Neodiprion lecontei: one gene and its partners. The protein of the gene in region 1 binds, or shares a complex with, the protein of each later gene. Links are inferred from orthologs where the notes say so. Each region holds a gene or a part of one and is shown on either strand. Other genes may lie near its edges. The genes, in order: glycosylphosphatidylinositol anchor attachment 1 protein, GPI transamidase component PIG-S, GPI transamidase component PIG-T and phosphatidylinositol glycan anchor biosynthesis class U protein.

The links.
Region 2: glycosylphosphatidylinositol anchor attachment 1 protein (region 1) and GPI transamidase component PIG-S share a complex: the UniProt entries of both Homo sapiens proteins name them as parts of the GPI-anchor transamidase complex. The link is inferred for Neodiprion lecontei from reciprocal best matches to the Homo sapiens genes GPAA1 and PIGS.
Region 3: the proteins of glycosylphosphatidylinositol anchor attachment 1 protein (region 1) and GPI transamidase component PIG-T are in contact, whole or in part, in a cryo-EM structure (PDB 7W72), measured with the Homo sapiens proteins. The link is inferred for Neodiprion lecontei from reciprocal best matches to the Homo sapiens genes GPAA1 and PIGT. Residues at the interface, in NP_003792.1 of Homo sapiens: Arg97, Ser98, Val99, Gly100, Glu102, Tyr104, Arg134, Ala135, Pro136, Arg137, Ala138, Ala139, Ser140, Thr141, Glu142, Arg171, Gly172, Gln173, Ile174, Tyr199, His200, Asp201, Val202, Leu212, Gln213, Gly214, Arg215, Ala218, Arg311, Tyr312; in NP_057021.2 of Homo sapiens: Gln91, Gly92, Phe93, Arg95, Arg97, Tyr98, Ser108, Phe211, His212, Thr213, Ser214, Asp247, Phe249, Ile250, Arg340, Gln355, Tyr357, Val358, Ser359, Gly360, Tyr361, Gly362, Leu363, Leu371, Tyr373, Lys441, Asp459, Pro460, Asn461, His462.
Region 4: the proteins of glycosylphosphatidylinositol anchor attachment 1 protein (region 1) and phosphatidylinositol glycan anchor biosynthesis class U protein are in contact, whole or in part, in a cryo-EM structure (PDB 8IMX), measured with the Homo sapiens proteins. The link is inferred for Neodiprion lecontei from reciprocal best matches to the Homo sapiens genes GPAA1 and PIGU. Residues at the interface, in NP_003792.1 of Homo sapiens: Gln245, Leu310, Arg311, Arg313, Phe358, Leu359, Ile371, Ala389, Leu390, Trp393, His397, Leu500, Ile504, Leu508, Cys512, Leu515, Thr516; in NP_536724.1 of Homo sapiens: Tyr349, Ile355, Phe356, Cys360, Ile363, Val364, Leu367, Leu368, Val371, Leu372, Leu375, Ile377, Tyr378, Ala379, Gly380, Ser381, Phe386.

The regions. Positions count from the first base shown.
Region 1 is NC_060262.1:35,686,659-35,693,511, forward strand, and holds glycosylphosphatidylinositol anchor attachment 1 protein, read right to left. Parts: upstream 5,287-6,853; 5' UTR 5,020-5,286; coding exon 4,878-5,019; intron 4,798-4,877; coding exon 4,580-4,797; intron 4,168-4,579; coding exon 4,011-4,167; intron 3,947-4,010; coding exon 3,738-3,946; exon of another isoform or gene 3,636-3,737; coding exon 3,418-3,635; exon of another isoform or gene 2,731-3,417; coding exon 2,546-2,730; exon of another isoform or gene 2,413-2,545; coding exon 2,285-2,412; exon of another isoform or gene 2,202-2,284; coding exon 2,008-2,201; exon of another isoform or gene 1,994-2,007; intron 1,845-1,993; coding exon 1,677-1,844; coding exon of another isoform or gene 1,654-1,676; intron 902-1,653; coding exon 619-901; 3' UTR 529-618; downstream 1-528. Other genes in the region: uncharacterized protein LOC124293465, read left to right, coding at 5,726-5,801, 5,899-6,066, 6,232-6,369, 6,490-6,599, 6,683-6,853. UniProt on the Homo sapiens protein: Component of the glycosylphosphatidylinositol-anchor (GPI-anchor) transamidase (GPI-T) complex that catalyzes the formation of the linkage between a proprotein and a GPI-anchor and participates in GPI anchored protein biosynthesis. Binds GPI-anchor.
Region 2 is NC_060262.1:30,735,365-30,740,005, reverse strand, and holds the start of GPI transamidase component PIG-S, read right to left. Parts: upstream 3,043-4,641; 5' UTR 2,673-3,042; intron 2,518-2,672; 5' UTR 2,465-2,517; coding exon 2,419-2,464; intron 1,253-2,418; exon of another isoform or gene 1-1,252. UniProt on the Homo sapiens protein: Component of the glycosylphosphatidylinositol-anchor (GPI-anchor) transamidase (GPI-T) complex that catalyzes the formation of the linkage between a proprotein and a GPI-anchor and participates in GPI anchored protein biosynthesis.
Region 3 is NC_060264.1:23,625,957-23,631,800, reverse strand, and holds GPI transamidase component PIG-T, read right to left. Parts: upstream 4,236-5,844; 5' UTR 4,078-4,235; coding exon 3,771-4,077; intron 3,207-3,770; coding exon 3,032-3,206; intron 2,877-3,031; coding exon 2,645-2,876; intron 2,519-2,644; coding exon 2,351-2,518; intron 2,127-2,350; coding exon 1,829-2,126; intron 1,707-1,828; coding exon 1,554-1,706; intron 1,457-1,553; coding exon 1,210-1,456; intron 968-1,209; coding exon 718-967; 3' UTR 538-717; downstream 1-537. Other genes in the region: CD109 antigen, read left to right, coding at 1-146. UniProt on the Homo sapiens protein: Component of the glycosylphosphatidylinositol-anchor (GPI-anchor) transamidase (GPI-T) complex that catalyzes the formation of the linkage between a proprotein and a GPI-anchor and participates in GPI anchored protein biosynthesis.
Region 4 is NC_060260.1:40,147,967-40,153,278, forward strand, and holds phosphatidylinositol glycan anchor biosynthesis class U protein, read right to left. Parts: upstream 3,651-5,312; 5' UTR 3,562-3,650; intron 3,484-3,561; 5' UTR 2,423-3,483; coding exon 2,290-2,422; intron 2,223-2,289; coding exon 2,020-2,222; intron 1,900-2,019; coding exon 1,152-1,899; intron 1,044-1,151; coding exon 790-1,043; 3' UTR 517-789; downstream 1-516. UniProt on the Homo sapiens protein: Component of the glycosylphosphatidylinositol-anchor (GPI-anchor) transamidase (GPI-T) complex that catalyzes the formation of the linkage between a proprotein and a GPI-anchor and participates in GPI anchored protein biosynthesis.

The DNA of each region.
Region 1 (6,853 bases):
TTTAACCCCCCACGTAATTCCAATATCTCAAGAACAAAAGATTGGCGATAAGCATTCGATAACAGCTGTGTGGCTCCATTGAAAGATAGATGGGAGATTTCTTGCTAATAGCCTCAACTTTATTGTACTCGAATATTTTTATTCACTCGCTGATAATGATCAATTATAATTGATTATAAAAATAATTTCACTATCCCCGTGTTGTTTTTCCCCGAAATTCATCAACAAATTATCATTAATTGATTTATTTCCACGGAAAACACATTTGTTTCACTTCGTTTGATTACATAAAATACGAAAATGATCTATATGGCACATCTGAGGAGATCAGTACAATTTCTGAATATGATATTGAATACTTGTCCACCGACAAACGAATGGCACATCAAATCGGTAAATTCAAACAAGTTAGCAATAATTCATACCCGCAACAGTGATTGACTCAAAATAAATCTTCATGAATCACATAGAAAAATATGTGATTGTAGATAACAATTCCGGAGTTATAGATACTTTAAGAATTGCAAATTTCAATTTTATTCAACGGAATATGTTTACCTCCATAAATTTATTCACTATCGTGTGCACGTTTTGATTTTTACATTTCATATAATACATTCACTTAGAAATTCGCAAAATTGGTTTAGAAGTAACTACTATCCAGAATATAAGCCATGTCGGAAGTAAAACGCAGACCGTTACGCTGTACAGCCAATTCCCATAGACCATGGAATCGATAATCCCAAATACGATCGCTTGCTTTGATGCTTGGATCCATTTCAGTGCAAAAGCAATGATTGTGTAGTCCGGGAATGTAAAATGCGTATATACCGCTACTACTGTACATGCTAGACAAAGCGGATGTAGCAGTATCCAGGGTATACAACGTAAATTGTGGAATCTGAAAATTATATTTACGTTTTACTCATTTCTCAGCTAAATCACTTGGGCATTATTTTATTCACGATTTAAAATATAAGAAAAAACGAATAAATGGTAAAATTGAAACCGTTAAATAAGCAGCACTTTTTTCCATGTAATTAATTTTCATTTGTAATATCATATATAAAGTACTGCATAGCTCGGTTTTTAATAAGTGCTTACATCTAAAATATCCAAGCATCACTGTTTATTTCACTAAAATTGTTCTTAAATTATTGATTGACTAAAATGAAAACAGCGATTCATCACCTATGCCAATGTGTGCAAACCTCACAGTTATCAGCACGATGTTTTGTATGCATCTATCTTATCTAGAACGTGTTTAGTATATAATTTAAGAGCCAATTATTGATGAGATGTCTGGGTAAGCAAAATAAATTCGTTGCGTATTCGTAAATAAAATATTTGAAAGTTGTACAAACATAGGCATAACAAGCTAAGTTTCCAAATAAGAGACATTTGAACAAGCATGCACTGCACTAGTTATCTAGCATTGCACGGTAGGAAATGACTAGAAATTCTGTCAAGAAGTAAGTAATGGATGGTTTTATCAGCGGTATTTTTATCACCACTTTTTCCAGCGTGATTAGATTAGAAAAGTCATCTTACAACAGAAATGAAAAAAGAACAAGCTTATCAGACCATGTAAAATTCTATGTATCGTATTTCCTGCAGACTTTAGTAATAATTACAAAACAAAAATATTCATACAGGTATAATTTGTGATGCCTGACCTGGATTCGTTTCCCTTCTTTGGTATGACGGTCAATGCTGCAGGAACGTACACAACGGCAGCTACTAATGCCAAGGAAAAGTTGTGCATTGAAATGCATAAAAGCATCGTTGCCAATTCTATTAATGCTATCACATAAAGTAAGGACGCAGTTTCGTAGGTCCTATATCTGAAAAAATGATGCTGTGTACAGTTTAAGCTCCTCGTAAAAAGATTAAAATTCTTGTTGCTGATGGAAGTGAAATCAATCTGGTACTGTTCAATATTTTAGATTCTGGTTTGCAGATGCATTTTATTTCATATATTACCTTGTTTCAGATTGCTCAGATTACCTTTCAAAACAGAGAGTCCCAATAAACATCACGATTGTGAGAAGTAAGAGGCCTAGGGATACTGAATTTTCGGTCGCTAGATGAAATTTTATGCCTATATAGGTAAACAATCGTGGGGCAGACAATGTCGCTACCCCCAATATGTGAGTCCAAAGTACCTCCCAAGCGATGTGTGACAGTACAAGTTCCTCTGACTAAATTAAATTATAAAAATTAATGACAACTTCGCGAATTTTGAGGACAGAAAAGGGTGGTGGAGAAAGTTGATAAAATTCACCTTGGCTTGTTTAACTGCATCACTTTCACCATCTTTTTTTTCAGTAGATTCTTGTAACTTAAGCCACACAGAAAATGCTTTTATGAAAAGCCCAGCAATAATTAGAGCTAATGGTGGCATATATAATCCTGAGAGGAAAAGTAGAACAATATAGTCTACACAAATTACACACTTTCAGTTAAAATTTCCGTATTTGGCCAAATTCGGCAGGATTGGTCCGACCACTGTGACCAAAAATAAATTTTTGTGTTATTAACTTACCAATAGAAATATACCTATCTGTCGACGGTAACAGATAAAAAAAGAATGATTGATGGAATCGTTCTAATAAATTATTGAGCGAACGAATAAGACTTTCAACAACCCGTCCTATGTTGTAAATAGTGGATTCCGTCCCAGACCCGGATTTGGCAAAACCTTCCAATGTAATGGCTTCAATACCAAACCTTGAACAGAAAAATAATGGTTAATTTTTTTCTTGTAAAACAAATTAAAATCAACTTGAGAAAATATTTGATATTTTCATTTTTCATGATTCTTAACTTACTGACTTAATTGAATGACTTGACTTTCAATACAAAAAAAAATGATTGCAGCAACAGAATTATAATACTTGTAATTAAACATGTGCAACACGAGTAGGCATGTGTCACAAAAATTGACCATGAGGTATAACATCATAAGGAGCACTTTAGATGCTTTTCGGATCCAAATTAAGGGTTACTGAACAATTCTTTGAATAAGATGTGTTCATACCCCAACAATTTGTTTCTCGTTTCTTTACCATTTTCTACAAACTTGATATTGACAACTCAAAAAACTGAGAACTCTTCGAAGTTTTTGGCTGTATCTGTTGAACGTGTAGTCGGATCAAATTGGGATTGATCGCCATAGCTTTATTTTGCAAAACAACATTGATGTAGCATGTGAAATAATTGATTTCAGAACTTTTTTGGTAAATATTTTGGCAAAAATCAAAAAGGAGAGCTAAGAGCACAACCTTCTCACAAGAAAGTTTGGTCTCGAAACAAGTCGAGCACCGTTATTTTTAATATTAGACCTAATTATGCTATTATTCATCATCAAACTCTCTGAGGTGGCTCTGCTAATATTATCCACATTCCAAACAATACCTGTGAAAAACACCGTGATTTCCAGTTGGCACACCAGTTGCTTGCGTAGACACCATCGACATCATGGTAACAAATTGGTACCACCATTTTCGTATTTTGTCTTTTGGATTACTGTCTGCTCTGCGTTGAAATGTTCTCCGGATCCCTTCTTTGGCACACATTTTGTTTGCCAGATTAACAAGATCTAAATTTGGAAGTTGTCCATTTAAACCTTCCACCTGTACAAAAAAATTGATTGTGTATTTTTGCATAATCGAACTGGCTAAGTAGTAGTAAGTGGTTAATGAACTCCCCAGACACAGGGGTTCAGCTCCAATCACCTTGATGTCAATGGATCCAATTTTGAAGGAGTGCATTTCCAGATTTATGGCAGCTTGAATAGACCCAGCTCTTCCTACCAAGTCGCCTGCAATCAATACCCCATCCTGCCCACACGTACAGCGATGATACGCCTCCAGCCAAGCTTGCATTCCTAACTGCTCGTGCTCAGTCACAACAAAAATGATATCCTTTGCCCAATAATTCTGTTCTGAAAATTGCAATAATTGTAAATATGGCGTAAGTTAATGTTAGAGCTAAATGAGGGCACTTACTCCGGCAGAATTTAGCAAATGCAAGTAATAGAGCTATCGATGGTGCAGTGGTCAGATGAATGCTGCTTGCAGATCGGTATGGTACACTTAATATTATTGCTTCGGTACTGGCACTTCGCGGAGCTCTCAATATGCTATACACATTCTGTCCAGTAAACTGTAAAGAATAAAATTGTCATGCAGGATGAGCGGTGATAGTGAATTTTGAATAATTTTGCACCTAAGTTTCAAAGGAACCGAAAGTTGCATTACTTATCGAAATGGCACTAAGTAACTCTACTCATGAGTTTCAGATTTGAGAAATTAAGTGCAGTCGTTTGGTAAATAATTTTTCTAGTAACTGTGTTTCTGAAAATCGAAATTCTATTTATAGAATGCTAGAGTAAGATTTCATTCATTTCTTTATAATCAATAAAAGTTTTTTATTCGTTCATAAATATTCAAAATCGTATTTTGAATCAGTGTCTAAAATCAGCATGGAAATAAAAATTGGAAATTAGTTACTACAGAACATCTCACAAGTTAATAACGAGTCATGTTTTGGATCATGTTTCTGACAAAATTCATACCTTCTGTTGAGAGAGTGGATAGTTGAGCGTAAAGTTATGAGTATAAACATCTAAATTGAGTTGACGGAATTTTGCTAATAGCCAAGGGTAGGGCATGTCATCCGGATATTTCTTCATCTCAGCGAGGAGTTCATCGTGAAATCGTTTCGCTCCGCCATCTTCATTAAATTCATTGGTAACCAATCCAGGTAAGAGAGCATTTTCAGAAAAATAGGTATCTATAAATTAATTTCAAGTGAAACTGGATACTACAACATTTTTGATAATCAAATGGTTTAGTACGATAAAATATACTTACTGTCATTGAAATCAGGATATGCCAGGGACACAAACCATATTACGCCTGTAACGTACAGCGTCAAGCATAACAACTTTTCCCATTTCATAACAAATTTTATAACTGCTCCATTCCCAGCTCTGGGATCCGTTAAGAGACCCATTCTTTCAACACCGGGGAGAACAGAAGAATTCCAAACAGCGGCATATAACCTCAAACATTCGCGCAAAATCGTTTCCAACACTAAAATTACTAGTGAAAAACGCAGACTGTCCTGAACAGTAACATTTGAGGTAACTACAAATCACTCTGGTGCAATTAATTCATAATTAAATTCTTATGTCAGGTTATTTACAACAAATTTTCACCAGTCAACAACCTGCACATTCAATTTTGACAGCCCTGCCCACGGCCGGCGGCCATTTTTATAATCGATACTAAACTTCAGCTCTCGAATTGTGCTTAGCGGTTGCATATTTCGATTCAATATGTCGACGCTGCGGCGGATAATTTACAAATCATGACGAGGCACGGACACGCAGGCTAGTTTGGGATTTCAGATTCAACTTTTGGATCCCATTCATGCCGATGATTCATATCTCGACGAGGAATTACGTTGGGGTTATGCTTACGTTTTGGAAAGCTGTATTCTGTTTCACAAGACGTTACGACGAATACAAATACCTGTCAAAAGACGTATTCACGCAGGGTTCGACCGTAAAAATCACTGAGATATATAAAAATATATGAATAATGCGTTTCGATTGTTCGAATAGTAGTTGTTTTGATAAAACGAAAATTGTGTATATTGAACCATTTTCTGCAAATAAACTGCATTATATTCACAGTATTTAATTAATTGTTTAGGAATGATTTGTTCCTTTACTTTCACGCTATTATTACTGGAATTACAGACTTGTATAGCTCATTCAAGCGCTTCAAAATGTAAATAATTCGATCCAGGAAACTTATTAACCTTCACAAGTGCAATTGTTTGAACATTTTGAATCCACTTATTAGCTATATGTTTTCTTCTCTGCAGCGGAACGAAACGCGACTCGTACCGATTTGTCCAGATGCAAGCTCACGCAATTGGGTACCGATTACATGGGTTCGATCACGACAACTGCTGGTGGAATTCGATGTCAGATGTGGTATTCGGAGAAACCTCTTCATCAGGTTCACTCTTACTGTACCGTCACGACTTTTTGTTATTTGTTCATGCGGATAACATAACACGAGTAGCTCGGCTATATCTGATCCATAAATTTTGAACGTATCGGCCAACACTTGTCGTTGATGATTAAGTTACACGGTACATTTTTCACGACATTATTCTAATCACCGCAGGTCAGCGAATCCATTACTGATAAAGTCTTTCCTGAAAGATCTTTACGACTTGTTAGAAACTATTGTAGAAATCCGACCAAAGATCCTCGAGGTCCTTGGTGTTATACAATGGACCCAAATCTGATTGACGACGAATGCGAAGTGCCTCTGTGTAATTTTGGAGGTGAACATTTAGGCGTTCATCCAATATCGTTACATCTGACCACCATACCAAGGTGTAGCATTCAATTTGGTGCTTCAGTTCAATTGATGCTGTATTAATTTCTTTCAATCATATTTTTAGAATGTAGAATATCAGGAACAGGTTCCGAGTATGGTGGAACTCGAGAAACGTCTTCGTCTGGTAGAAAATGTAATTCTTGGGACAAGCGTTTGAAATTGGCCATTAATAAGGTAAAATTTTGACGGTCCTTACATTTTCGAAAGTATCTGTGGGCCTCATCATCATTTCATAATCGATTTTATCATTTCCTCAGACAGAAAAATTCCCCAGTAACTACTTCTCAGATCTGTCCCGAAACAAGGCCAAAAACTTCTGTAGAAATCCGGATAGCAGCGCAGGTGGTCCGTGGTGTTACGTTGATTCAGAAAGTTATGACATTGTAGAGAAAGAATACTGCAGCGTTCCATTCTGCGATGACAAAGGT
Region 2 (4,641 bases), about 5.0 Mb from region 1:
TTGCATAAAAGCTTGAGTAGACTGACGACTGTTGTGACTATTTAAGTTTTCTGACAAACGTTAATACCTGATTATTCTGTCGCGCACGCTCAGTGAGCCAAGTCGGGACGCGTTGCGTTATGTTTTCATCAAAAAGTTTGCATAAGCAAATTGTATGGTTCAACGATCTAGTTCGACAGCCTCGTAATTTGTTTATCCTGTTTGTATATCCAAATTAGAATTTTAAAGCAAGTTAATGTAGTTAGTAAGACCATAGCGCCAACTTCAATATCTAATATCCGATTACAGTCATGAATGACATATACAATTCCGGTTGTATGAAGGTACGCAGTGCATGTTCACAATATATTACTTTTACTTCACTCCATTAAGCGTGGAACCCCAGGATAATACATTTATGTATTCAATACCTGATCGGACTTGTCCTGACCGGTCTCTGGATTAGATTTGAAATACATCTGTTCAAAAAGGGAGGAGTAAATTGGGATGTCAAAGCACCTAAAAAGCTTAAAGCAAACATTAAATGTAATATTGCAGAAGCTTTTTTGGTAGACGTAATGTATCTAATTAGAAATAAGTATTTCTACATCCACTTAAAATAAATCCAACTACTGGGGTAGGAAACACGTAGCGTTTATCACCTTTTATACGTGTCGAACTCTAGATTAGTGCAGGTACATATACGCAAGATGTTTGTCTGCACCAGAAAGACTAAATTCTTCGTTCCATGAAACTCTACTATAGTTTCGAATCGCCCATCACAGTTTATAGGGTATTTATATGATATACTTTTCGATTGTGAAAGAACCGAGAAAGGTTTCCTAATATAAATCACGTACAATGTAGTTCTTAACGGTAACGTAACCGAACGTTGAAAAAAATTTAAGTTAGACGTTCGACTTCGTGTGTAATAGCTTCATTTTGACACTCGTATGACAAAAAGATAACAGTTTTAGTATTCGTCACAACAGGTAGAAAATAAATTTAAGAAATTTTTGAATGAAAATAATAAGTATTGAAACTTACCAGACCATGATTTAAAAAGATTGTAAGAACGAAATGATTAGAATAAATTATCAAAGCAAAGGACAAAGGCCAATCATCATTTATTGCGTATAAACTGAACAAAAAGGGATTGATATTAAGAAGAAAATTTAATTCGTAAATATTTTAAAGACCAACGCCTTTTCTTTCATACTTGAAATTGTTTTTTTTTTTATAACATGCTAATAATTTGTTGACTCAGTTCAATGCGTTCAGAAAAGTTGTAGAATAGGATTTTCCACTATTCCAATCAATGGCAGATGCAGACTGAAAGAATGAAATGAAATCCAGGTGAATGATTTGCGTTACAAGCTGGTATACAGACTAGTTTGCAGGTATTACTCAAGTTTCAGGTTCAAGAAATCATGAAATTGAATAAATGTTAACCGTCTAGCAACAGCTACTTCTGTCTAATGGAAATAGTAAAGTGCACCTGTGTACTCGGTGCTTATGTATGTGGTTGTCTAAAAAATGCAAGTATTTGATTTCACAATTCACAATTCTGCCTGCCCAGCTATTAATATTGTCAGATGAAGGCTACAAGTAATTTTACATTAATCTCATTTAATGATGCAGTAATAATATACTATTCAGTACAGAGACTAAAAAAAAGAATATTTTGTACTAGATTTTTTTCACTTGTTACAGTTTCCTTCCTAATGCAAGATAACCCACTCTACCGTGAATGAAAAAAAGTGAACACTATATTATGAAGAATATCATTATTGGTGTGAACATGTGACCGAAGTGGAGTTGCATTGGAGTCATAAATTACTGGTAAGAATTATTTCTGCTTCCGTAAACTGTTGCATGAGTTTGAAAAAATTCTTCTGTTCCATAGTTTTTATAGTACTGTGTTTAGTTCAATCTGATCAAATGTGCCTGCTCTATATATAATTACAACAGTGCTAATATGTTGGAGTGACCTGGAGAACTATTACAATTTTCTTTAATTGGCGCCATCTCAGCAGTCACTAGGTAATTAGAATTTTAGGCATTGCGGTTATATAGTGTCAATGCTTAGGGCATAGAGAAATGGAGAATTCCTGGTATACACTTTCGTGTAAGTGGAAAATGGCATAGAAAGGAAAGTAGTAAGACTAGTTCCTTTCTTTGTCTAATGCACACGTAGAAAGAAAGAGCATCTAGTCTTATTACGTTCCGTTCTCTCTCCGACTCGAATACTTTTTCGACATCGACGCTTTCTGCATGTTTGTAATCTGCTCTAGGTGCCAGTAGCAGAGCAATAGAATAAGCCCGTCGAGCGATTATATCGGAGTTGAATTATGCTGAGGGTACGTTCCATATCCGTACAATTAATTATAGAGCGAGTAATTCTCACAAGCAGGGTGAAAATGAGACGCATGATCTTACCATCTGAAGGCGTATCGTATCCTACGGATCCCGAATTATCACTCATTGTTATCAAAGCTTCAATGAATAGATTTCGACTTGGAGCGGTGTACAGATAACCTATAAATGTATGTAATCAGATTTTAACTAATTGATTGATAGAGCTGGGCATTTTTTGACTTGTTAATTATCGTTAAAATAGAAATGCAGATATTCAGGAGCTCTAATTTATGCCCAGAAATACTTAAATGAGTGTTTTCCTTAGATTCACGTACAATTGACTAGTCCATCATGCGAATACACAACCTAACACAACACTCAACAACACCGTAAACCTAGTTACCCACTGATGAAGCAGAGGTAAGCAGACTGCACTTGGTGACTTTTTATTCTAAGAGTTGGCACACATTCACTGGTGCTAACACTGATATACCTATAAAGGTCTGCCTATAACACATCCGTGGTGCAAAATGAAAACACCTCGAAATATTGCTAATTGCCATTTTAGGATGTCACATTACGAAGTTTTATAATATAAATTTTATGATACGTTCAGATCATTAAATCTCAAGACAGCGCCTATCACGTCTGCTTTATCGATAAGTTGTCGCCCGTGAAACCTTGTAGCTCAAATAAACGTACCGACTGAGTGATATAATCTGAACGCGGCATTAAGCCTTGGTGCGTTGACTGCAGAATATACAACGCTTGATGTAATAAGGTTCGATTCGTCGCAGCTCAATTGCACTTTTACGTTATAATGCGTCATGTGATGTTGTCAACGCACTATTTAATTCACTCGGTGTAATTGCATTCATATTGCGAAAAACGAACGCAAGCATAAACGGTATATAATAATATTTTCGGTGAACGTATTATTTGCTAAGAATGTCAGATCGAAACGAATATTTTTTTTTTAATAGTATGGAACAAAGTCAATCACATCGGAGTTATGGTTCAATTAACTGTAAAGATGTCTTTTAACATATTATAATAGAAATCCGCAGTTATATTCAAATCTAATGGATATCAATGTCCACACGTACCATTCTAGGAAAACGGATATTCTGTTTGCGATTCGCGAGAAAATATACTTTAGACCTAGACAGAGTATCTAACTTCGCTGTGTAGTCTTCATACCAATTATTTAATTATGCGATCTCACCGAGAAGTGAATATTTTAATGTTTAACGACTACGATACAGACGTTGCCACCAATAATGACGCAATCAATGATCGTTAAGTGGTGATAAAACAGGAAAACCGAAAATAACGCGTATTGCTGTTTGATGTAAACGCAATAGCTACAATATCTTATTCAAAACATACTCACCATTGCTGATTACAGATCATTGATAGTTCAATTGAGAAATCTACATTCTGATAAATAGTTCACAAGCTGCATTGACAAAGTAATTGCACTGATCTGCGTTTTATAAAAGTACGCCGCTTTGATACGTGAAATGAATTTTTATTGAAGTTAGTAAGTTCAATAACAGAAATTGAATGTGGTTAACTACATTTAGGCAAGTTGTTTTTGATGCATATCGTAATCAAATTCCGGATGTGGTAAAAATATTGCGTTTTATCCGACAACGTAAATGAAGTCGTAACATGCTGCACGGTGCGTACTAAGTGGATAATGTATGGGCACTCATTTGTGCGATGATTTGTCCTTGGGAATAAATAGTCGGCCTTGTAACTTTTTCTGAGATATGCAAAGTATCGTTTTACAAATCTTAAGTTTAATATGGCATCAGCATAAAATCAATTGACAATCCACATTCGCAGTACACTTTAGACACATAAATGATAGAAGCTACATGAAATTCGATTCTTCAATTCGTCGAAGATAATTACTCGCAATGTTAAGTGCATCAATCGGAATAGGTGTTTTTTTGAGCATGCGACACGTAAGATAATTATGATACAGCGGTTGAAGCGAAGTAATGCCGCTTGTTCACGTATACCATTAACATAGTTCGAAGAATATATGCACATGATAAATAAAATACGATGCAAAGATTGATAATGCGAAGGAAAAATTGTGCATGAATCTCTCGCATGTCAGACGAATCGTTTATCAAGAAGACGGACGTCCAATCTATCATCTCCAGTATTCTACTAATTGCAATTTGTACAAAGAATTACTTCGATTAACTACAATATATACTAATAGGCTATTAGCGATATATTACATAAGTAGATATTATACGGATGCCTCTTCGCAGATTGGACGGGCAC
Region 3 (5,844 bases), on another chromosome or scaffold:
GCGGTAATGTTTGTGTAGGGGTCTTGGACAATCAGAAAAACGAAAACGACGGTTCGAGGGGGAGTGCGTGCACCATGTACCACCTCTCGTCGCCTGCTCTACTGTTTGTCATTATGTTTGCAAAGTCATCCTTCTACTTCTTCTGATTATTTATCAAGTTGTCCGTACGTTATACAATTCCATTATAATTGTACCTAATACTTTTCAAGATTAAATTATAGCAATTACGATTAAAAATAACCAAAGTAAGTAATATACTATAATACCATGCAATTCGAGATATTCGAATAACTTTTTAAGCCGTCCATTTATCTTTTCGTTTTTGTCACGTACCCAATTGTATATTATATGTATACAATGAGATTAGTATCGGAATTGTTCACAATAAAATCTAACTATATGTTATATTTGTGTTCTCTACTGTGCCTCACAGATTCGTTCCAAATTTGCCGAGTTCTGAATTTTTTCCGTCTTGCGTTACAGAGGTATATTGGTGTTTCAAAAGGTTTGCATTTACAGAAATGAAATATGCCAACATTTTATGTAAGAAATACCAGATAATCGATTGTTTGATTTATTTACCTAATTGCTTCAAGTTTTTATTTTTACAACTCATGATATTATGTCGCCAAGGCCTTTGCGACAGATCCAATAGTGTGTACGGAGTATTCTTTTTTGGAGCGAATAGCAAATATGACTGAAGAGAACTTTGCATATCTACTCTATCTTATCTACCTTTGTTTTGGAGAGTTTCTCTCTGATGTAAGAAACTAGTTTATTTTTCTTAGATGGCTTGAGAACAAGCCTCTTTGTTGTTATGTTGTGGAGGGGTCCGAAAGCCAGTGCCACGGCCGTACAAGCCAGACAAATAACATTATAAGGCATACTAAAGTCAGGCGTTGGCAGACTGACAAGTAGAATCTCAGTCCGTAATTGGACCAGGTAACCGTCCCGAGATGCATTGAAACTGCAACCACACAATAATGATGGCTTTAGGTTGTATTATATTTGCTGCATTGACCAATCAGGAAACAGCTTCGGATGTTTCAGAATAACATCCCGTGCTGACCAGTTTAAAAAAAAAAATTACTCAATTTGCCAGGTTTAACATCTCAGTGGCCACCCTAAATGGTAATGCTCTTCTTACCTCCTGGTCCTCGAAGCTTAACGGAATATTGTTCAATAATTGATCGATCATTGTTTCCTTACCTGGATGAAATAGTACTTCCGTCCTGAGGTAGAGCGGTGTAATTTCTCGCAGTTGGGAGAAGAGAGGTTATTATTGCAGGGCCCATGTAGAACCCGTGATTAGCGTCCGGAGGGTATTCTTGCCACTTGAGAAAAAGATAGTCTAATTCTATTGAAAACTCTGTTACAGAACGCGGCGGAAGTCGCAGAACCATTTCGAGGTAGTAAGGACGTTCCCTTTCTCTACCAGGCACGTATCGCTTGATTACTGAAACCACGAGCAAAATTCACGAACCAAGGATTAGAAAAAATTATTTACAGAATGGAGATGGGAACAAACGATACTCGCAGAAATCTAGACATACGAGGCTTGAGTAATTTCCCCTGGCAGGTGATCCTTATGGTATGAGTGTAGACCGGTATGTACCATGGAATGTTCTCCAGGAGCACGACATCCAATGGCTTCCAGTAATTATTATGGAGTTTTGTCACCAGGCCGCCTCTTTCTTGACCATAGCCTGAGAACAGCGTTTTGTCACGAGTTATTCAGATCCTGCTATGTCAAGAACAATGACCGTCCATTTCATAATACTACAGTTTAATAAAGATCAAGTCCATTACAGTATAAACACAGACACACCTACTACATATCTGTTTGCAAAGAGCACCGGTGGAATTTCGACTCCATAAATTTTGGCTTTGCTGTGGACAGCAGCGACATTGAACATCCCGGCATTGGACAAAGATTTAATATCGTACACAGCTATTCTATTTTCTTGTCCTCCTCGTAAGCTGATTAGAGTCTCCGGTGGCTCAGGCACTAGCCGATAAGTTTCAGATGTCTCATTATCGGTTACATCTACATATACACGGCTCAGGGTGGCCAATGGACAAGCGCTTCGGAGTCCAATGCCGAAAAGCTTTCGCACCGACCAGTCCTGCAGGTCAGAAAGTATTGGCCATGTTCATATTATTTTGTGAACCAAAAATTATTTCAGGATTCCAATATCACGTTGGATCCAGCATTTTTAACTTGGTAATTCATAGATAAGGTTCAGTCTATTTCATTTTGTAGGATCAAGAATGATACAAAAGAATAAGATTCAACCAAAATGAGTTTTTCATAAAAATGTGCCTGCTATTCGATGCCATATGTACATACCTGCGAATCAGTTGTCATAGTGTCGTAGACCAATGAAATTGTTTGCCGCAGTTCAATGGTAGTTTGCGTGCATGCTGCATTGGTACATACAGGTCGTACATCAACAGCTATCGAGTGGTAATTAGTGTTATGGATATATGCTGAATTCAAGAGAGTAGCCAATCCTTTCTAAGGGATAAAACTATGTTGAATAGGTTTAAAATTTTTTGTTTATACGAGCAAAGACGAAAATGATAAAATATTGTGATTTCGACGTTAGTTAAATATTGTCAGAGTATTTTTTCTTGTTCATACCTTAGAGTCGCACGGTAGTAATTTTTTAAATGGTGTCAAGTTTTCTGTGCAAACTATTTCTCTTGGCAGCGAAGAATATCGAAGACAGCTAGAGTTTAGCGGTCTTGGAATAGCACCGCTGGGTCGAAAGGTAAAATCAGGTGACAAGCTGTTGGACACATCCACAAAATTGAGCGACGCGCACAGCAAACCCGCAAGAGCATTAGTCAAGCTTTTCCAATTCTCATCGATCCTAAGAGCAAGAATATCGAGTATATTATCATCAAATATGGTACTAATACAAATTTCCCAAGGAAAGGCAATCGATGAAAAGAAGATGAGAACTCTTTGAAATGTCAAGGTTGTTGAGTGATTGTCGTTAGGGTAGATAATAGTAAGTTATTGTACCTTCGGTCGTCGTTGAACCAGGCATAAACCTCGGCGCCAGAACCGGTATCTTGAAGAGGATATCCCCATTTCTCGTAACGCCATAATCCTTCAGTCAAACTGACGTGAAGTTCTCTGACATTGTGCCGGCCGATTATTTCCCCTAACCCACGAGGAAATAGCCGAGAATGTTGGACTGTATACAGAAAGATGTATGCAATTCGATAGATCAATTGCATTCAAGAATAGAGCGATCAAACAAAGAATGAGCAAATAATGAAACAATAGAGTGTCAAACTTAAAGCGAGGTTAAAGTACCAACAAAGTGAGAAAATCTAATTTCAGAACGCTATTCTCTCACGAGCAAGGAAAATACTTCAAATGTTGGGGAATGACAGTGTTTGCGATCGTATTTGTGTATTGGGACAAAAAAAATTCGAAAATTGATCTAGAAGTGCGCAAACCATGGGATTCGGATATCAGTACACCATAACCTCAAAGTGAGTGAAAATCTGGTTATGTTCAGTGTTTGCGTCAATTTTTCGAACTTACTCAAATCATCACCCAAGCACAATAGTGCACGCTATTATTTCCCAAAGATTTTTTTATTCAAGAGGGAAGAAAATTGTAAAATACGATTAACTCATCTGGTCAGCACTCCGACCTCACCTTAGTACCGCCGTTTTCCAGGTTATGACGTTTGGCCATGCATCTACACTGATATAGAAGAACGTATGTACGGATTATACGTAGTACATACAGGTTTCAGTCTCAATGTCAGTCCGCCACAGGGTAGTAAATTGAAAATGTGCGTAGACGTGTCCGCTTGGCAAGGGCTTCAGCATAAGCTCCTCGTTGAAGGCATCATCTACGTCGGAAGTACAGGAAACGAATCCGACATCTCCTATGGCACTCAATATCAACGCCTGTATAAAGTACATCGCAAACGCAGTTCGCATTTTCGCGCACGATTGTAACTGCAATTGGATTACTTTTAAGCAACCCTTCGCCCATTCGCAAATCGAGGTTAAAAACTTTTCGCACTTCGGATATACGGCTATGCGCATAACCTCCACCAGTTAATCGCACTTAAATCGCTCGAATCGTCTTTCCACCAGTCAGGACTCACTGCCGCTGACTAATGACTTGCATACATAATTGTGGAAGTTTATTTCAAAATAATTGTTTTACTGGGTACACTTACACACCCCGCGTACCTCCCTCTGCGTCATTTTCCTTATTAGTTATTAGTATTAGCATAGCCGTAAAATATAGAGCATAGACTGCGCACTCACTGGTACTGCTTGTGGCAGCGCCAAAAAGGAGAGAGAAGGAAACACACGCGGCCGATGTTTTGTCTCTTTCTAAGCATTTGATTGGTCGTTGATCAATTGCTCGGTCATGTCAAATAAACTCCATCCGATTAACAAAAATAATATCATCTAAATAAATGTACAATAAATATGCACCTGGTTTACGGTTAACAGCGTTAGAAACCTTTTCTTGATGCAAAGGATGGGAGCCAGAATCAAAGAAGTTAATCAAAGGATGGAGATATATATTTATTCCTATATGTACCGTATGTAATTTATGTACATACCTATGTTTACTACTTAACTCGTGTATCTTCAGTCAACGCTCATATCTTCGTTCCCAAAGAAAATACAGCTGACATATAAAAATAAGCTCTTAACTGACGTTAGATTTCCGTGTTTTTTTTAAATACAGTGTATTTGCAGAGGAAAACCCAGACCTTTCTACACAAAAATACTACTTGTAAATATTTTTTGTAAATTAGGTAGGACTCGATTGTTATTAATGTTTGAATCTATGCTGTAACAAACCCTAATGAACTTCAGGCAATCATTATCACAAAAGCAATTGAAAAAAATTTAAAGAAGATCAAGGTTCCTTTTTTCAACTTCTACTCATATTATTTGGTTAGATTGCGACTCTGCCCGCTAACCCCCAAACACAAGATTGTTCAAAAATTTATTATCAAGTGCCCTGATTATAATTACTCATATCTGTTCACTTTATTATAAATTTACGGCAGTGCCTGTGTTGATTGTTAGGAATTTCGAGTTTGAGAGAATATGTATTCCTGATTACTTATGCGTAAAACGTTTAGTTATTGATGCATCATTTTTTTCGCATTTTACGAATGTATCCTCTGAAAGTGCGGCCTTCACAGTTTCCTAGGCAAGTATCTGCGGGGTATAAGAAAATTATGTATAGCATACTCGTATTATGTATTATCTTACTCAGTACAACCTTTTGTACACACTATTTTATTCACAATTACATTGTAAGTAACAATAATTCAATAATCACCCGTTGAAAATCTTTCCCACTCAGAGTCATATTTTTTATTTTAACTGATTTGTGATTTGTGTTCTTGACGCATCATTTCCTTTCAGTCGGAAGTAATAAATTTATATGCATAATGTGACAACACATTTTTGTGGTTTTTCATTGAGTCTAAAACCAATTAATAATATTATAAAATGCATTTTCATTGAGTCTAAAACCAATTAATAATATTATAAAATGCAAGTTATCATATTAGTTGCCTTTCTGTTTATATATGTGAAAGTAATGAGGTTTTGAAAAATGTATTTAACAGTAGATTTGGTTAAGTAATCTAGAAATCAACCAAGTATACAAATTTGTCATAAAAATTTAAAAACATTTTTCTACAATATAGATTCAAAAGCGAAGATGGCAGTTAATTTCTAACTGTATTCCATTTGGAACAATAGGTTTTTCATACAGATTACCGGTATCTTGAACGTACAAAATTTCAACACGGTCCTTTTTGTCATTTTTAGTAG
Region 4 (5,312 bases), on another chromosome or scaffold:
ATGCATATACTTCATGAAAAAAAAACTCAAGCGCATGACGAAATGGCATGCATAACTATACGTATACCCACGCGTACGGAGAAAGTGATTCGAAGAAGCTGCTTTATGTCTACGGAATATCAGGTAGCCGGGCAATATTTACGCAAGAACGTGCGTTGCGTGTATCAGGTTTTCCGTTACCGTCTTGATAATGTTTTTTCTTTTATTAATTAATCTAATTACTAAAGGCTGGGATTTAGGTATGAATACAGATAAAATTTTACTTGAACTTTAACTCACACATGCTTGTGTTCAGAATGTTCCTCATCTTCAATGGATCGCAGATTATACATTGATATTAAAATTTCACCCGCCAACGTTACGTGAGAGTAATTTTTAATCTTTGACTAAAGTGGGGATATACCACCTTGGAGTTCCAACTGTGAACCACTGCTTATTATGCGCGTTGTTGATACACAGAGGAGTGACGCAAAGTATGGATTTGGCGGGAAGGAAAGAAATAATAATTTGTTGCGCTAATGTTGGTGAATTATATTTTTAATCGTTCGTGAATCATGACACTGGATTTTGTTGTTACCCAAGCAGAGGGGATATTTTCGCCGCAATAAATTCATTGTGAATTCTCAACTAAAACTTGTGAACGTCGTAATTGACGTTACGCATTCAATTTTCAAATGAATGCTTATATGTTTAGTTCCATCTTCTTTAGAGTGCGTCCCGATTTTTCACCTCCAATCGGCATTACAATCTGGACACGGAATGTATGTGTAAGAATACATCCAATGGAGTTTATTCGAGTAAAAGTTTGCCAGTATTTCCGTGGATTTCTCTCGACAACCCGTGTCGCAAAGAAAATTCTCGTTTGACGCTGGCAAAGAGAACATCGGTAACTAAAAATATTTGGGCGATAGCAAAGGCTAGCGTGACACCGAAGTAAAAGTTCGCATTTGCTGATCGTGAATAAATCCACAGGTGCCAAACTGTTGGAGCAAACACTGTGCAGGACAAAAGGAAGCAGCTGACAATGAATCCTTGCTGCATATCTGGAGAAAATAAAATTGACGCATTAGTTTCGGAAAAATATACATAAATTGGGACAAATATGAAGGGATAAATAATTACGAGACAGTAATAGTAGATTATTGACTTACGCGGAAAGAGATGCTTCCACATTGGTAGTAGAGCCATATAAAATCCTACTTCTCCTAAACATGGGTACGATTTGAAAATAGCCGCGATTGCGAGATACGAGAAGGCCAGGAGCATAGGATCGCGGCGAAATCGTAGCGCGAGAGGAGCAACGTAGAGCAGGCCTACGTTTATTTGAAATGATGCAACAAATAGCCACCTAAAGTGTTCAAACATTTCTGTGAAGAAGTACCAGTACAGGCCGATGTTTGGCCGCAGATCAGGTACTGTTAAAATGAAACCAATTGTACTGTGCAAAAATGACCAGCTCCCTGATACTTTGTAGGAGAGGTAATATAACGCAATGAGAATACCAATGAACATCGCTATTGTCTTATTAATATTTCCGTAGGGGAAATTTTTATTTTTACCTTCTTCGTTTCGCGCCAAGTATATTGTGGCAGGTACCATAAGAGTAATGGGATAAAGTCCTTGCAATGTTAAAACAGCTATAGTGAAACAACTACATAATCTCGATTTGTTTATCATAGAATATAGAGCCGCGGATAGCAGAAAGTTCGTAAAAACGGTTGTGGTTAATCCTACACAATTAAAAACTACGTATGGGTTGAAAAGGTAAGCTGAAGGTACGAGTAAAGCGGAAGACGTAACACTGGATGCTGGTATTGACATTGATGAAGGTAAAGTTGATAATTCTTCGTCATTGGATTCCTTTTTGCGTTTCTGGATGTCTTTTTGTTCGGTGGCAATCTACAGGAAATTGGTTGAATGTTGGTTTATGGCTATGTTTTAGTAGATGTAGTACATTTGCAGTCTCGTCTTCTACTTCATTATAAAATAGATCCTATTATCATTATTGAATCAACTCACTAGTTCACTCGTGTAACGATAAGCAGTCGCACCCAAAATCCATGCCGTGGCCAAATCCGTGAAGACAAATATGCCACATAACATACACAATGACAAGTACTTTTGCATATAACTGAAGACGACAAGGCCTATGGGACTTTCATGAAACAGATCACCGGTGTAAGGATCGATACCAGCTTCTCGTAGGTAGACTCCCTCGGTAACTGGTAACAATATAAGAACGATCATACTTAGTGAGCAAAAGACAGCAAAAACATTGGAAACGCTCACCTTTTTTCCATGAGTTAAGTGCTGTGGATACTTCGACTCTGTCAGCGATGATCTTTTGATATTCGGAATATATTAATAGCAACCTTATCGTTGCCGCCAAAGCGAAAAATACAAATTTTTGAGTAGTACTCATTATAATTGGTGGCAACCACACCCTAACCTGTACGTCTTACAACACTTGACGTTTATCAGTTTCAATCTACTGTTAAAAAGTTTAATTCATTATTTAGCAACTCTATCAAACGGACATTTTTAGCCTTCATTTTTCATAACCTGAGCCGCTATTAATGCACATAAACATTAAGCCGCAATAGAGCCATAGAGAATATCGTCTTGTATAAATGGAGCTCGATGCAATTTGCTCAAACTATATACCACAGCTATAGGGTCGACTCACAGCGTCTAATAGTGCTGACGACAGCAACGACGATAGGCCGAAGTGTTGAGATTTGATCAGCTTTTAGTACAAGGTTTGCCCACTTTGGCCACAGATATACCTATTTACTATGGGTGCTAGCTAGGCCAGTTCTTTTTCGTAATGGTTTGCCGGGTCTGGAGGTAACGTACCAAATAAGACGAAAATCAAATTGTAAAACCCACAAGAATTAATAAACTAGACTAAAGTCAACTAACCTCGTTGCATTTTCCTCTACAAAATTGTGCAGATTTAAAAAAAATCTGAAAAAGAAAACGAATGCGAATAGTTTATAGTTAGGAATAATGGATTAAAAGATAGAGCGGGAAGATGATTTTAGATGGATTTCGTCGGTTTTTCTTCGTATTTGCTTACAATTAGCTGCTGGTCTTCGTACTTTCTAGATATCTTTATTGAATTCCTTAGGAACCAACGAGTGAGAAAAGGGTCCTGTAAGTCGAACCTGAGGTAAATTACTCTAAAAATCGCAAAAAAGGAAGGCTAACCCTTTTATTTTTTCGCGAGAAATGCACTCTCGCAAGTAATTCGAATGCGTTAAACTTCGTGACATATGTATAAATATACGCAATTCCAACTGATTCCAAATCCAGTTAACTATATCCAAATACATGTCGCTGTATTTTTCATTTCATAAATTTGAAGCACTTTTGATATAAAAAGTCTAGGTGTCCTGAGCACTTGTATGTATACGAATACCATGCATGTTTTTAATTTCTTCCTTCAGAATCTATAAGCAAACATGAAACACAAGGATTATACTGAATTTGCACACGTCAAATATTAATAACTATTATAATTGCTGAATATTGCAAAGTAGTAATCAAATGAGTTCATACTTCATTGATAACCCGATGCTGCTTAACTGTGTTGAGTCCTCTGAATTCTGGGGCAACCACATTTACTTCAAACATCGCGCCACACCCTCCTATGTGAATCAGGAAAATAATAGTTACATTGTTAATTTATATACATTAATAGTACATTGGTTAATTTTGCAAGGTAACATTCGACACTCTAATATTATTTTTGTGTGTGCAGCATAATATATTATCCTCTTTTAGCGAAACTATGTTATTAAACAGTAGAAAACATGTACAATAACAATGTAATAATAATTTCTGTGATTGTAAATCAGATTCATTGGTAGATACCCACCAGATACATCTGTAACTTCAATGAGGCTCGCTTTGGGAAACTTATCTCTGAGAATAGTGACCATCTTCTGTTCAGCTTGCTTGCCGGCTAGTGCTCCGTTCGGTCCACTCCAAACTCGTGACAGAAGCTGGAACACTTTCGCTTTATTCATTTTTCTCTAATTCAAATGACGTGCTTGTACTAGCAGTCTTAGCATGGAGGCGTCGGAACAGAGAGATTTCGATAAATGGTTGGAGAGGATATTGGAAAATTTTGAGGAGTTGATTACAAGTTTGCAGTAATTAAATAAGCAGTTTTCCATCAAGGTTCGTCGAAGGCATGGAAGTACAAGGCGTTTCTTAGCTTGTTTATACATTGAAGTTTTGAAGATTTTCGATGAGCCAATGCTGCAAATTAAATTTTTTACGTACCGATATGTTACGAAAGTTTTTTGGTATCACACGTCCGAACATAGCTGGGTCCTATTTTCAGAATTTTGCAAATTTCACCTGGCGTGTGCTATCACCAATCAATTCCGATGTTCAATCGTCCGTTTCAGCGCAACATTCGTGCTTGACTATCAATTATATTGATTACTATTCACAGGGCGAATCGCAAATTTCTGTTTGAGGTTACAATCCGGCAAGTTCTTCATTCAATGTCTTCTATCCTTCTTGCTCTCTAGTCTCTACTCTCTAGCCACTGAAACATGCCCTAACTAGACGAGCACAAACTCATCTCGAGTGCGCCACTTTGCGGTGACCTTGAGTCATCCCCACCTTCAATCTACAGTCACCTACAACTATAAATCTTTGTCTCAAATCCATCGAATAAGAAACAATCCTAATATAATCATCGTTATCTCTCTCGGCACGCTCTGCTCTATAGGAAAGCAAAATCGTCACAAGTTTCACCGCAAATTCACAGGAATTAGCTGTACTTTTTTGAGCATAATATTTTCAGATTCAGAATTGATTTGCTTGACACAATTCTAGACTATGTAGAACCCCAGAAACGCAGAAAATATAGCAAGAAGAGCATTGGACCAACAGCACGGAAATTACGAAGACAATCTTTCATTTTTTTGTTGTAACTTTTCATCCGTAGCTTGCAGCGTGTACGGACTGTGAGCAATGGATTCCTACAGCAAAATTACGCCGATATAGTGCATCAAAGTGATCCAATATCTTTGAAAATCATCTAAACTTTCAGCAAAAATTCAAAGGGCTTTTTAATGGGGTTAAAGGGGTTAGGCTTACATTTTTTACGAGTTTTTTGGCAAAAGACTTTTCATCTCTGAATCTATATATACTTGGGTGGTGGTAAAAACTTGGAAGAGTCAATATTTCGAATGGTGGATATACTGAGATTTCAAACATGCAAAAATCAAGATTTTGAACAATTCATCATTCGTTATTTTATTTTCACGTGGTTGAAATTTCTATATATTGGC